2 linked regions of the Tamandua tetradactyla genome follow. The protein of the gene in region 2 purifies or fractionates together with the protein of the main gene of each other region. This does not show direct contact. Links are inferred from orthologs where the notes say so. Each region holds a gene or a part of one and is shown on either strand. Other genes may lie near its edges.

What was found.
Region 1: the proteins of CRY1 (region 2) and FBXL3 purify together in Homo sapiens (affinity purification with mass spectrometry; 4 studies listed by BioGRID and IntAct, counting the BioPlex papers as one, with this or other methods). This does not show direct contact. The link is inferred for Tamandua tetradactyla from reciprocal best matches to the Homo sapiens genes CRY1 and FBXL3.

The regions. Positions count from the first base shown.
Region 1 is NC_135330.1:144,769,366-144,777,261, reverse strand, and holds the start of FBXL3 (F-box/LRR-repeat protein 3), read left to right. Parts: upstream 1-4,881; 5' UTR 4,882-4,985; coding exon 4,986-5,011; intron 5,012-5,299; exon of another isoform or gene 5,300-5,319; intron 5,320-7,896. UniProt on the Homo sapiens protein: Substrate-recognition component of the SCF(FBXL3) E3 ubiquitin ligase complex involved in circadian rhythm function. Plays a key role in the maintenance of both the speed and the robustness of the circadian clock oscillation.
Region 2 is NC_135333.1:23,633,919-23,640,895, forward strand, and holds the start of CRY1 (cryptochrome-1), read right to left. Parts: upstream 3,002-6,977; 5' UTR 2,379-3,001; coding exon 2,221-2,378; intron 1-2,220.

The DNA.
Region 1 (7,896 bases), on a different chromosome or scaffold from region 2:
GGTGAAGAGATATATAAGAGGTAAAGAGATGAATTGAGAAGAGCAAACATAAAGTCCTTAAGACCAAAATAGAAGGACTGGTGGGACAGGAATCTTTTTAGAGATAAAGGCTTGGGTTTTAATGCCCTATAAGGACAAGAGATGAGTTTGCAAGAGAAGTTGTAACTGAAATCCCTGCATAAAGCAGGAATTTTGAAGATCTTCATCCTCCTTAAGAAATGTTTAACTTAGGACACAAAGAGATGAACAACAAACTAATATGTCTTTGAATGGGATCTGGTTTTAAAAAGAAGGTCTTTTTAAACGTTTTTACTGTGAAATTTAACATTTATACATAAAAGTGATAAATTTCAAAGTACATTTTAATGAGCAGCTTTAGAACAAATTTCAGTGTATGGTATGGGGTACAGTTCCACCATTTCAGGTGTTTACTTCTAGCTGCCCTAAGACACTGGAGACTAAAAAGGAATATCAATATAATGATTAAGTAATCATATTCATTTGTTAAATCCTATCTTCTCTGATACAACTCCTCCTTCTCCTATGATCCTACTCCCACTGTTTTTTTTTTTTTTCCACTTTCAAACCCATTTTTTATTTTCTTTTTTCCTCCTCAACATACAGAACCTCAGGGGTGTCTACATAACCACATTTATTGCAGCTATAAAGTCACTTGATACTGGTCAGGTACCATTTATTCTTTTATCATTTTATCCCTAAAAGTTGTTGGCATCAAAATACGACAGTTAACCAGTGTTAAATCCATAAAATATTTACAGAGTATAGCGCATTAAGTTTTAGACACCTGGCAATTAAACCACATAAAACCAGGACAAGACCCCCATTACACATGTTCTGAGTCAGGCATTTAGCAGCCCCTAATACAGCATCTTTACACTAGTCAAAGGGCGGCAGAGGCAGTAGCTTTGGAGCACACTGAATATTATGATCTGGAAGCACATTATGATGTTACCCCAGTGTTATGTACCAACCCACTTTCTCCAAGGTAGTCTCATAATTCTAAAATGGCAGGTCCAGCTGATACAAAATGAAGACAAGACAACACAAAATTTATTCTGTGAAAATATCCTACTATACTATGCCTTCACTGTAATTTTGAACACAACTTGTCTCAAAAACTTGTCGTGATCATCCTGGCATTTTAGATTGGGTGGCCCATCAATCTGGCACTCAACTATCATCTCTTTCTTGGTACTGTTGGAGCCAAATCCTGGCTGGACAGAAACTACTGGCTAAATATTCCACGTGCATTTTTTTTCCCACAATATGGAAAATATTTTAAGTCTACAATTGCACTGTGAGGATAATTTAATAAAACTGCCATGTTTCCGTCCTTGGGAATGCATATTATCCTTGGTTCTCCTTCAGGTTTTAATCCAATTATTCTGTTCATTTTCACAAGAATATAAGGTTTTCCTTTGGAATAGCCAAAGTCAGGATCTCTCATACCACTGAATGCTTCAAGTAAGTGATCAACAAACTGACATGCATGATAATCTGGGCCTTTCTATTCAAAAAGTACTCCATCAGGGAAGACCATGACATTTTTCTGTCCTTGTAAATCATATGGCCTTAGAAGATTAGTAATGTCTTCAATGTATGCTTTATAGGAATCTGAATCAGACAAACCGATTGTATATTCCAATGCCGTAAATGGTTTTGGGAAAACCATAAGTCCTGGACTAGGAAGCTGGTCACAGTATTTTGGAACCTTATCATTCAGAGTCTGAAGCATAACCCACATTGTGAATGTGAAGAGTGCAGCCAGGAGCCCATAGAAGACTAGGTAGAAAAGCAAGATCAAACTGCAGCTCTTGGCGGTGCGCCCCAGGCACTCTCTAGTGGTTAGGTTGTAGACAAAGAGCTTCTACACTGCCAAGCTCTCATGGAAGAACTTCCCTTCTCCCACTCTTTAGGGATATTTGGGCAATGGTCATTCTTCTTCATGTTTAAAAGGGGTGCCGACATTATGGGGTAGGAGTATGCAGATGGTTGATGGTCTTGGAGAAACTGGTAACTAGGTTTCTGGGCTTTTCTGGCCTAGGAACCATCTGAAAGTTATAGGTTTCTGAAAAATAGTGAGTGAAACTTTCATAGAATCTCAGAGCACTGGGTACTCTTGAGGATTTACAGGGCTATGACAATTATTATTATCTAGCTGCAGTTTGCATAAGAGTAACCTCCAGAATAGCTTCTCAACTCTATTTGAAATCTCTTAGCCACTGATATCTTACTTATTTTACATTTCTTCTCCCCGTTTTAGCCAGGTAGGCATTGTCAATCCCACAGTACCAGGGCCAGGCTTATCCCTGGAAGTCCTGCCCATATTGCCAGGGAGACTTATATCACTGGAAGAAAGCCTTTTTGAGAATTCATAACCACGGGCCTACCCTCACACAGGTTGGAATTTGAATTTATACTCTCTTTATAACTTAAGTAACCCAAAATTAAGAAATTATTATAAAAATTGTTCCTGGCTAGTAATAGCCTGAAGCTACCGGCAAAAGCAAACTAAAAAACCTCTCTGGAATGACGTGCACTCAACCAGGTTGCACAAGATTTCTAGAATTAAAGCATCACAAAGGATGAATTCACAATTCAAAATCATAGAATACATTAAGGACAACCCATCATGAGCAAACACTGACACGTATCTAGATTAGACCCCTGATTACTTAATATGACTAAAAAGATTACAGAAAAATAAGAGAAGAATTTAAAACATGAGAAAAGAACATCAAGAAAGATCATGCAGATGTTTTACAGAACCAAATGAAACTTTTAGAAATAAAAAACACAGGCAATGACTGGGTTAAGCAGATACTGAATAGAACTGAAAAGAGAATTAGTGAATTGTAAGACAGTTCTGAGAAAACTACAAAGAATTAAATATAGAAAAATAAAGAAATAACTGTGAAATTAAGAGATACGGCAGCAAACCTCCCACGTAGAAAAATCCCATATAGTTTAAGGAGCATAATTCCCCACCCCGCCAGTATGGGTTAGACATAGTGAGTTCCTTACAAACAGAGCATAGAAGGGGAAGAAAAGAGTATCTACTGTGGAGAAAGTTGACCTCAACACCTGATCAATGCTAACACCTACAGGGTTAAGTCATGATGATAGCATGCGCCTGATGTGATGGGATGAGAATGGTATTTCACCCCTGTGGACTCCTTCCCAAACACCCATAACCCTGGTCTTATGAAAAAAAACATCAGAAAAACCCTAATTGAAGAACATTTTACAAAATACCAGATCAGCTTTCCTCAAAACTGTCAAACTCCTCAAAAACAGGTAAGTCTGAGATGGTGTATAAGGAACTACGGCCACATAACCTAGTCTTTCCTGGTCAGCGGGTGCCTAGGTGGAGTGGTCCTGGGAGCGTTCTGTTCCCAGAGGAAGGGGTACATTTTCTGTACAGAATTGAAAAACAATAACAAAACTGACTATAAGTTGTCCTGCTTTTATTATCATAATGCACCTGCAATTCTAAACAAGTTCAATAATAAAATATTGCTCCCTCCTGGATGGAACTACTCCACAGTCACCCTTTCCAACCCCTGTGCCAATGATGTTGACTGATACAATGGACAACTGTAATTACTGAATGATTTATAAATAAGCAGAGGTTTTCTTTCTGAAAAAAAGTGAAATAAAAAATTTAAATAACTCTAACAGGAAAAAGAGGGGAGGTTTAAATGCAAAGTGTGCTAAGGTCCTCCTCTACTTCAGGAGGAAAATGGGGAAGTGAAAAGCGGCCACTTTTGGAGGGTGAGAGTTTTAATGTGATATACTGGCTATGTTTTTTGATTGGTTGAAGTGTTTTGCTGTTAACCTAGTTTCAAATAAATGGACCTGAATTTGACCTATTTGCCTTTCTTCTTCTAATAATTAGCAATGCCTTTCCTAGAACGTCCTATTGTTACCCAGTCACTAAGGGACCTAAAAAAATATTGAAGTTCAGGTACAGCTGCATTAATAAGCTGCTAGAGACTGTTCCATTTTAGAAAGCTATTTACTAATCTCAGGAACCTATTTACCTCATAAAAACAAAGATGGTTTTTAAAATAGAAATAATAACAAATAATTCCTATTAAAAAATCATTTTAGGAAGATTTAGAAAATAATTACCTAAATAGAAATCATCTATAATCCCACCCTTAATACGGCAACCATCCGGTTATATTTCCTTGCAGTGTTTTAAACATTTAATGCATATATTACGTGTATATATTTTTAGAGCCTGTATTTTTAACCCCTTAGGTTATGGGGCACTAGGCGTAGCCATCCCGAAGGCCATCTCAGCGAGCTGTCAACAGCCACTGTTTATCCTTCCGCCCAGGGGAACCGGCTGCGGAGTTACAGCAGACTCGAAACTTCTCTTTTCTTCTTTTTGCACCACCTCCCTAAACTTTCCTATTTTAGCAATAATTTTAAAAGTAAGAGCCACGTCTGAGGAGATAAAGGTGGCAGCCTCTCTGGAACCAGGCGCTGGAAGCCCGCAGCCGCGCGGGGAAGGCACACCCGGCTCCGGCTGCGCACGCTACGGCTGGGCGCGGCTCCTCTACCGTCCTCCGCAGCGCGCACCCGCCCCACGCGGGGGGAGACGCGCCGGGAAAGCGCGCGGCCGTGAGCCGCAGGCGCCATTTTGGACTCCGTGTCTGGGCTGAGACGCTGGGCAGCTCCGTGGTGGCCGCAGCTCGCTGAGGGAGTCTGTCGCAGTGGCGGAAGGACCCGGAAGGGGGTCGCGTCGGCGTGGGACTGAAAAAGAAGACTTCTCCTGGGTAGCCACAGCCGCAAAGGTGGAGCCACGTTGGCGCCCGCCGGGGGACCAGCGCCTCGGATGCGGGCGGAGCGCGGGGGGCCGCGGCGGCGGGAGCGCGAAGCGGGGTTCCCGGGGGGCCTCATGTGAGAGCCGCGGGACCAGCCGCCGCCCTCCTCCCCGGACCCCGGGGTGGTGTATGGGGGAAGCCGCCCCCGGCAGCAGGTAACGGCGGAGGGGCAGGGCCGGAGCCCCGCTGCGACGACGGGGCCGGGGGAGGGTCTGCAGTCCTCTTCTTGATGGGCGGGGTTCGCGGGGTCCCCGGCGTGCGGGGGAGCGCCCCTTGGACGCTGCGGGCGGGGCGCCGGGCGCGGCTCCCAGACCTTGGAGCCTGTTTGGGGGCGTTTCCCCGCGGTGCCTGCTTCCAAACGTCAACAAGGCGTGGTGCCTGTGCGGCGGTCGCGTGCGGCCCTCCCCGTGACGCCGCGGAGCTCGCCGCAGCTCCTGCCGCGCTTGGCGGGCTTTGGTGACAGGTACTGTGGGGTTCGCGCCCCGCCAGTTCCTTTTCGGCGTCGGCTACACCAATGCTCGTAGCTTGAGAAATTACAGGGATTAGGATGTCAAAACGAACTGAAGGGTAGAGGCAGGAGTTATATCAGGGAAAGCCAATCCGTGGAGGTGGCGGAGGGAGGCAGAGACGCTCCCGCCGCGTAGCCAAGTGGAAAACTTGGTCAGCTTGTGCTGAGCAGCATTGTGCTTCCTTTTCGCGTGAACAGCCTTTTTAGGTGGAACTGCAGATAGTGCTCAGAAAGCAGCCCATCAAATGACTGGCTTGCATCTCCGAGTTAAGAATTGAAAGAGATTTAATTAATTTGTTGATGTCCGCCGAGTGGCCTGTCTTTTAATTAGAATCTTCTTTTTAACTTGAAAAAAGTTAGCTTCTACTATTCGTGAAATGTTTATAAAAATGCCATCAACTTCCCAGTGATCTACATATGATTACTGGATGTGTTCACCACGTTCTCCCTACCATCCAGTTCTGAGAGTTAATGCTGTTTCCACTTTTCTATTGTATTCCAGTCAAGGAATATATATTAATTTTGATATTAGTCAAGGCAAAACAAAAATGGAAAGGAGATTTGATGCAAAAACAGGCATTTAGCTTTCAAGAGCTAACTGCTGATGGGCTTTAAAAATTATTACATATCCAGCATATGTGAAAGTGCTGATGCAATGAGGGGCATACAGCAGCGTGTTCTCTGGTGAGCTGAAATCTATTTGATGAGTAATTTGACTGTTCCTGTCAGTTTATGGAACTGTTAGTTACTTCAGTAGCTCTCTTTGCTGCTCAACTAGTTTGTAGTTTTTCCTCTTAGGTTTTTTGGGGGGAGAGGCAGTTCCCAATAATATCAGTCCGTTCACTCATCAGAAGCTCTAATAAGTTGAATTAATTATTTGGGGCCTCAAAAGTTGTAATGTGAAATTAAACTGCCTAAGCAGCTCTGCGGAGGCCTGATTTTGTTGCTCAAGAAAGTCTCATTGATGTGTATTGTCCATATCTGTCCTACCCTCTCCTGTTCAGATATAAAAGGTGTTTTCTCTTTGACTAAAAGTAGAAGATATATAAGTTTACTGACATAAATTATTTGCAGACTGGTGGATCTGAATCGTTTAATTTTCTATACAGCAGTTTCATGTGCAGATAGAGTAAATAAAATATTTTTGAAAGCAGTGTAAATTTTTGCACGAAAAATTGGCATTTTAAAATTGTATTAAATGCCCACTCCTTTTATTTTCATGCATAAATGAAGACAATAGATTATTGTTTTTTGTCTGCATTTAGCCTTATATTTGTAGATTTGCTTTTTAAATCTAGGTTAAGATCCTAATTATGATATAATGTAGTTCAATGACATATGGCAATTGATAGATTTTTGTTCAGCTACTCATAAACTAATCAATGTTTAAAATATACTTTGGTGAACATGGAAATACTATACCTTAGTGTTGAATACTTTGGGTTTTTTTTTCCCTCCTACTCCCAACTTGGAAAAGTATTGAAATATACTTGAAAACAGGGCTAAATAAACAAATGTATCTATTGTTAGGATCAGCAGTTTTACCAAAGATAATTGTGTGAATGACCAGTTTATTTTTTAAACAGCTTTCTTGAGATATATAGTTCACTGATGATACATTTCACCCATTTAAAGTGTACTTTATTGTTTTAAACATTTTTCATTATAATAAAACATACATGGCTTAAAATTTCCCCTTTTAACTACTTTCATGTACACAATTCAGTGATACTAATTACATTCACAGATGCTCACATGGTGTGCTATCATCACCACCACCCCAGTATCATTTTTGTTTATATGTCCATATATTCTAAAGTAAGGCTAATAATTGCAGCTTTTAATAGAGTATTTCTGGTTTTAGAAGACTTTTCTCCAAAAAAATGGGGTCAGCAATCTATAATGAGGAGTAGAAATTGTCAAGATTGCTGTATTCTGTTATGAATCTTTGTATTTTAAAATTCTGAGTAGTTTCAGGTAGTCAGAGGAAAAATTATAAGCTTTGAATAGCAAATGCTTAGTTCTTTGGCCCAAATTTTATATGCTAAAATTAAAGTATGACTTTAAAACAAGTTAAAGCAGAAAAATGGGTCATAATGACAGTGTAATCTCAACCTTTGGTAGGACATTACTACTAGGAGAGGTTTCTTCTTTTTTTTTTAATTTTAAAGATTATATTGTAGATTATACCTTTGTTTAAAATCACTTCAAAATGTGTTAAAAGTTAATAAGTTTCAGTTTTCCATAAAAGTACCCTGTTAACTATTATTTTTGTTATTCTATTTTCTCCCATCCTCTCTGTCTTCTCAGTAGGCTATATATCATTTATTTCACTTAACTCAGATGCTTGGAAGTAGGAGCAATGAGGCATAGGCAGTTTATTGTACATATGCTAAGACCTGGGCTCATTTTCATGGCATGGAGGTCAGGCTCCTCTTGCCATTCTGCCTCTATTCTCCAGCTCCTAATCCTCTTTCACAAGTTTTGCTAGCTACTGGAGAGAGCTGTTCGGTTTATGATTATTCTTATGCA
Region 2 (6,977 bases):
CCCTGAATAGTTGAGGTCACATATGAAAAGAAAAAATGAGATTACAAAGGTCAAAAGGCAGATTTTGAATGTCAAGGTAAGGAATTTGGGCTTTATCCTATAGTCAATAGGGAAATTAATAAAGTTGTTAAAATATAAAATTACAGACATCAGGATGTCACTTCATTCAACAAAAAGTAATTGAGTTACTAAAACGCACTCAATCTGGTGCTATGAGAACAGATTGAATATAACTCAGTCCCTGCCTCTTTAGGATGTGAAGTTTAATGACACTATTTCTGCTAATGAAAAATTGTTTTACATATAGTTGCTGTATCATTTCCTTCAGCATACAAACATACTGTAATTTCTTCCATCTTAAAAAGAATCTTCAACTTCACATCCCCCTCCAGGAACCACACCATTTCTCTGATCCCCTTATAGTAAAAGTTCTCCAGAGAGCTGTCCATGTGAGTTGTCCCCAACCCTCTCCCTACCTCTCTTTGTTCCAAAATGGCTCTTGTTTCTGACACTACTGAAACCACTTGAACTCTCAACAAGATTACAAATGACCTCAAAATGCTAAATTCAGTTTTTAATTGCAGCCCTCATCTTCCTTGACCTATCAGCAGCATATGAAATAGGTAAAGCACTCCATCTCAAACTTAACCAGGCCCAAGAGGACTCAATCATCCTCTTAATGACTTCTCTGACTTCATTTTCTTAGCAAAGTGCAACTCTATCCCACTAGCTTATCAAGTTAAAAATCTTGAAATTATTCCTAACTACTCTTTTTCTCACACCAACATATCCAATTTGTCAACAAACACTGGGGGTTCTGCCTTCAAAATACACCCAGCATTTGAATTCTTCTCACCACTTCCTCCATTATCACCACAGTCCAGACCCTTATCATCTCTCTCCCAGAAGAACGCAATAGCTTTCTAAATGGTCTTCCCGCTTCTTGTCCACCTCCAGCCCCCAGTCTTGTCTGTTCTCAGAATCACAGCAAGAGAAATTCTTTTCAAACTTAACTCAGATCCCGTCTTCCTACTTAACTCAGTAAAAGTACAAATCTTGACAAATGTCTATAAAGATCTATTCAATCTGGTCCTATTACATCTCTGACCTCTTCTACTACTACTACTTTTCTGCTCACTTATACTGTCACCTAATTTTTTCCCCTCCAGTCAATACTGACTCCTCCCATTTTCCCTCCAAAGGCAAGCATGTTTCCTCCTCAGGCTCTCTTTCTTACGGTTCCGTCGGCCTGGAATGCTCTTTCCTTACATATCCACATTCCATTACCTCCTTCATGTCTTTGTTCAAATATCACCTTTTCAATGAGTTTCCCCCAATCAACCTATTTAAAATTACAAAGCCCATCCCTATATTCCTTATCTCTTTTTTCTGCTCTTTTTGCCCCCATAGCATTTACCACTACCTAAAATATTACGTATTTCACATTTTGGGATATACGCTCAAAGAAGACAAGAATTTCTGTTTCCTTCATTGCTGTATCTCTGGCATTTAAAGCAGTACCTGGCACACAGGAGGTGACCACTATTCTATTCGTTAGATGAATAATTTTATTTCCACCAGGAGGTCCAACAATCACCTAGCCTGATACTTCAGGAACAGATAATAAAGCTTCTCTTAGATTTCTTTCAGATCTCTGGTCCCTAGAAGGATTATACTTTGCCTAGAAAGAAAAAGTGTGCTTTGTCTGGTCAACCACAAGGAGGAGTTGAGAAGAACACTGAGTATAGAGAAACCAGATAATGATGCTTCTCTTGCTTTTCCTACAGCAACCTGAAGGTGGAAGAAAACTGTATTTGGAGACGACTGTACTGAATGAATGATTTTTTTTTCATACTATGAATTACTTACACAAACGTAAACATTAAAAACAATGATCCTTTTGAAGGCCACAAAGAGGCCCAGGAAATCAATCCCGAGGCCACTAAGGACTGAAAAGCTGTTTAACTCCACCGCTGCTAAGTCTCCCTAAACTCAGGGGGAAGAGGTCCCATGAGCGTAGTGACACAAAGATGAAGGCCAAGCTGACTCTCTGGCCAGAAAAAATACTGTCAATTATATTTGATACGAACATAAAGCACCTACAATTCTTAAATAGTACAAGCAAGGCGCTCCCAGGTCAAGACTCTCGGATTCGGCTGATCGCTTATCAAGTCCGGATTCATCAAACACCGGAATTAATTTTCCCCAGGATTCACTCACCGCCACCTGTTGATCCCCACGTTGGAGGAGCCGGCGAACCAGGGGTCCAGTATGTAGACGCAGCGGATGGTGTCGGCGCCCTGAATGCATTCTTTCAGCGCGGGGTTGTCGTGAAGCCGGAGCCCCTTTCGGAACCAGTGCACCGCGTTCACTCCCATCCCGGCGACGAGCCCCTCCAGAGAGCGATTTAAGCAAGGAAGATCCAGCTCATAACCTACACCTTCGCTTCCAGGAGAATCGCCGCCCCCAAGGAGCGAGGAAAGGGCGGTGGAGGGGACAGAGGAAAAAATTACTCCGAGGAGGAGACCGGCGGAAACTGCGCCGGAGGCGCAGCTGGAAGACGAATGGAGGTTGCCCAGTCAGCGGTGTCCGGGAGTGACACCTTTTAGGGCCCGACGCCGGCCGCAATCGCCTAGACGACACGCATACGTTCGAGGGCCTCGGATCCCCGGAGTGTGAGCAAGTTCCAGGAGCTCGAACCGCCACGATGGCCGGAGCCGGCACCGGCAGTCCCAGGTGGTTGGTCACGGAAACCTCGCCCCACCGAGCCGGCCCGTGAGGAGAAAATGGCCCGCCGGAGGCGAGTCACCGCGAGGAAGGAGAGAGGGTTCAGCCATTGTCAGCAACGCTGCCTCTCGGCGGGGGAAAAACCAGCAAAGACGAAGGCCGGGGTCTAGACTGCTGGACGGTAGCCGGTGGGCTACCGATCCCGAGGCTGCCCGGGTGACTCCGCCGCCGCCGCCGCCGCCGCGTCAGCGGCCTCGGCCCCGCCCCTGACTCATCATTGGTGGGCGCTCTCCCCATGTGACCACCGGCACCTCACGTTTCTGAAGTGTGTTTACTACACCGGCTCTGGTTGAAGAATCTGTTCGCGGTTCGGGTGCTTTTAAGGGTGTAAGGTCCCTCAGCCCCAAAGCTGTCGACTCTCGTCCAGAAGTTGGGCTCCCTGACTCAGGCCCTGTACTCCGCTTTTTGGTCGCCGTTCCCTGGAGGCGCCAGCAGCAATCATAGGCCCCATGTGAGGGAAGACTAAACCTCGCCCCAGAGGGCCGTGAGCCACTACCATTGGCTGAGACTCAGTGGGACCCGGATGAGCACGGGGATGCGGGAAGCTCGCGGGTGCGCGCTTCGTTCTGAAAGGCGCGCGTGCGCTCTCACGGCGTCCTGTAGAGTAGAAGGGCGGGGCAGGGCCGGTACGCGCTCTAGGGTTCGTGGCGTGGTGCTGGGGATCGCCGGAATGCAGTTTCGAGTGTTTTGAGTAGGTGGTGGAACCAAACGAGGAACGAGGGAAGGATGGGGTGGAAGGAGAAGAGTAGTAGCCTCTACTTAGATTTAGAGCCCAAACCATGTGCTTCAGTCCAGCTTCGGTCAGAGAGCCCTCCTTTGTGAGTGTCGATTGGCGCAGCGACCAATTTCCTGTCCCTCACGGTGCGGCATCCTTGGACTTTTCTCGGGAGAAGGGTTAATAACAGGGCGGGTACCAGTATTCCTGTTCTTAACTAGCCTTATTACTATCCATCACCACATCACCCCTGATCTCTTAAAGTTGGTATGGCTTACTTTTCATTCTTGTCTACCTTTCCAGCGATAATGAACCGCAGGCTGTAGTATTTCCTTAGCCCTATGATACGCCTGTATTCATTCAACAATTACTTACTGAGACATTATTTACTAGACACTGCTCGAGGTGCTGGGGATACAGGAGAAAATATAACAACACAAAAATCCCAGTACTCCTGTAGTTTACCATGTCTCTTAACTTTTGAACTTGCAATTTTTTTCTCTATAAAATGCCCTTCTTTGGAATTGGCTCCTTACTAGAACGAACTTTGAGCTGCCTGGAATATTTCTGCACATCTTTCTATGTAATTAGTGAAACTATGCTTGTCTCTCAGGGCAGATTGAGGCCTCTTCCCAGCTGTCATACATGCGTCTGATGCATACGTTACACTATCCTGATGAAGATTAAATGAAAAGTGCCTACTGTAATTTTTAGCACGAAGTAGGTATTCAGTAATTGTACTTATTATCATAAAAGTGTCTCTCTGATTCCCACCAAAATGTGACTTCTCAAGATGAAGATCCCTGACTAGTTTTATTTTTTTTTTTTGTTTCCTCAATACCAAGAACAGAGTTTGACACATGCACTCAACTGTTTATTGAATAAGTGAATGAATTTTGTTTGTCACTACTGTGGTGGGCAAGATAAAAAGGAGGAAGGAAACTGCAATAAAGTAAATTCAGACATTTATGAAGCCAACTCTTACTTCTGTTGCCTTAGGGAAAGTAATTCTTTCTTTGGTTTCTATAAGACCATTTAAAATTGTGTATGTATGGAAACCTTTTGTTTGCTATAAAGTATTAAGCAAATACTAGTATTTGTATCGATGGGGAGGAGCCCTGGGTAATTCCTTACCACTCTAAAGCTCCAATGGCTTACCACTCAGAAGTTCTCACCACAGAGCCCTTACGTGGATTCCCTGGTGTTCCAGGGCTTATCATACTTTAAAAAATACAATGTTTTACATTTCATGTTAGGCTGTTTGTGAGTAAGCAAACTGTCTAAAGAGAAAAGAATTGTTTTTGAGCATCCCAATGAAAAAGTGGGAAGTGAAAGGAATATTGATCCACATAGAGTTGATTTGGGTTTGTGAATTGTTCATTCAATAAAAGATATTTTTAACAGACAGCTGTGTGTGGGTGTAGGTGTAACTTTCATTTAAACATTACAGTGCTACTTTAATATAAAAGCATCAGTACTGTAAAGTGTGCATTGCTCAAAGACCGAAGGTTTTTTTTGGCACATGGGTGATTATTTTAATATATCTTTGTTTTGGTGGAGAGTTACCATTTAATCATAGCTATAACTTGTTGAGCACCTACTGTGTGCTGGGTGCTTTATATCAGCTATTATTAATCCTCATAATAATTTTATGAGACACTTTATTATTAATAATAACATGCCCACTTTGCTGATGGAGAAACTAAAGCTCAAAAATATAAATAGTAGTACAATCAGGATGAAAAATCAAGACTATGTTTTGGTTTGCTAATGCTGCTAAAATGCAATATAACAAAAATGGATTGACTTTTGCAAAGGGTATTTATTAAGTTACAAGTTACAATTCTAAGGTTGTGAAAATGTCCAAATTAAGGCACCAACAAGAGGAATCCTTCACTTAAGAAAGGCCAATTTCCAGGGTTTCTCTGTCACGTGGGAAAGCACATGGAGACATCTGCTGCCCTTCTGTCCCAGCTTCTGGTTTCAAATGGCTCTCTCAGCATCTCTGAACAACTGTGTCTAAGCTTTCATCTCTATGCTCTGTGTGTCAGTTCTGAGCTCTTTTTCTCCACGAGCTCTTTTAAGGACTCCAGTAAACTAATTAAGACCCACCTTGAATGGGTGAGATTACATCTCCAACTAATCAAAAGGTCCTACCCACAACTGGGTGGGTCATATCTCCATGGAAACAGCCTAATCAAAAGGTCCCACCCAAACAATAGGTCTGCCCCACAAGATTGGATTAGTATTAAAAGAACATGGTTTTTCTGGGGTACATGACAGTTTCAAACCAGCATTTGTATAAACCCCAAACTGTTTCCTTATCATATACTAAATCTCACTGACTCCCTCTTCCCTTCTCTTTGAGAATTAGCATTTATGTATGAGGAGTGAAAGAAGTGAGAAATGGAGTGAGTGAGCGTTCTCATAAGTCACTTTTGAAATTCTGGTTGACTCTGGGTCTAAGAAGAAGAGACTGGCTTCTATCCCAGCTCTGCTAGTTAGTTGATGGTCTTGAACAGGTTACCTAGGCCTCCATTCATAAATTGAGGGGCTCGAACTAGATGATTTCTATGTTTCCTCCGTTGGGGATTGAATCATGACACCTACAGAAGGCATGCTCAGGTCCCAACCCCTGTTCTTTGGGTGTGGACTAATTTGTAAATGTCGGCTTTTAAAGATGTTATTCGTTAAGGTATGCCAAGCTGAATGAGTGTGGACCTTCATCCAATATGTCTGAAGTCCTTATAAGCAAAGGAAGTTGGACACACAGGGAGAAGCCACAGGAAGGCAAGAAGCTAGAAGTCAGTGGAACCCAGAAGAAAGAGAAGATGCTACCATGCGTCTTGTGAGGGAAAGCCAAGGACCCCCCGAGATGCCAGCCAGCTTGAATATACTGGCCCTGAAACTGTGAGCCAATAAATTCTTGTTGTTCTGCCAACCAATTGTATGGTGTTTATTTTAGCAGCTTGGAAACTAAAACACCTATATAATTTTAAAATTCTGGAGTTCTATGAATACAATCCTGCCATGGGCTCAAAAATGTCTAACAGTCCTGTGAAACATTCTTTTAATTGCCAACAATGTTAGAAAAATCACTATCTCTATGATTTCATGAGCACTCTTGATAGAAGTATGTCAGCCTCTAAACTGAAAGCCTGTGTTCTCTCTTGACCCCATCTTGCAGAGGTGTCCTTCACGGACATTCCAGAAAGGGGTAGTAGTGCTGCAGCTGTCCACTTTCGGTTGGTACCTGGATATCATGCAGAATCATCTGTAAACCAGGCCCAAGTTTTGGGATATGTTAACTGAAGAAGTAGACAGTTCAGAACCAATCCATTCAGTTGTGATTTGATGTGAATTTTAGGCTCTCAGCCTTTGGCCGAGTACCCACATGCTGGTGTCTTTGGGATGTGGATTTAATTCTGTTAAAGAATACTTACTTTCTAAGAAGGTACAATTATAACTCTCATAT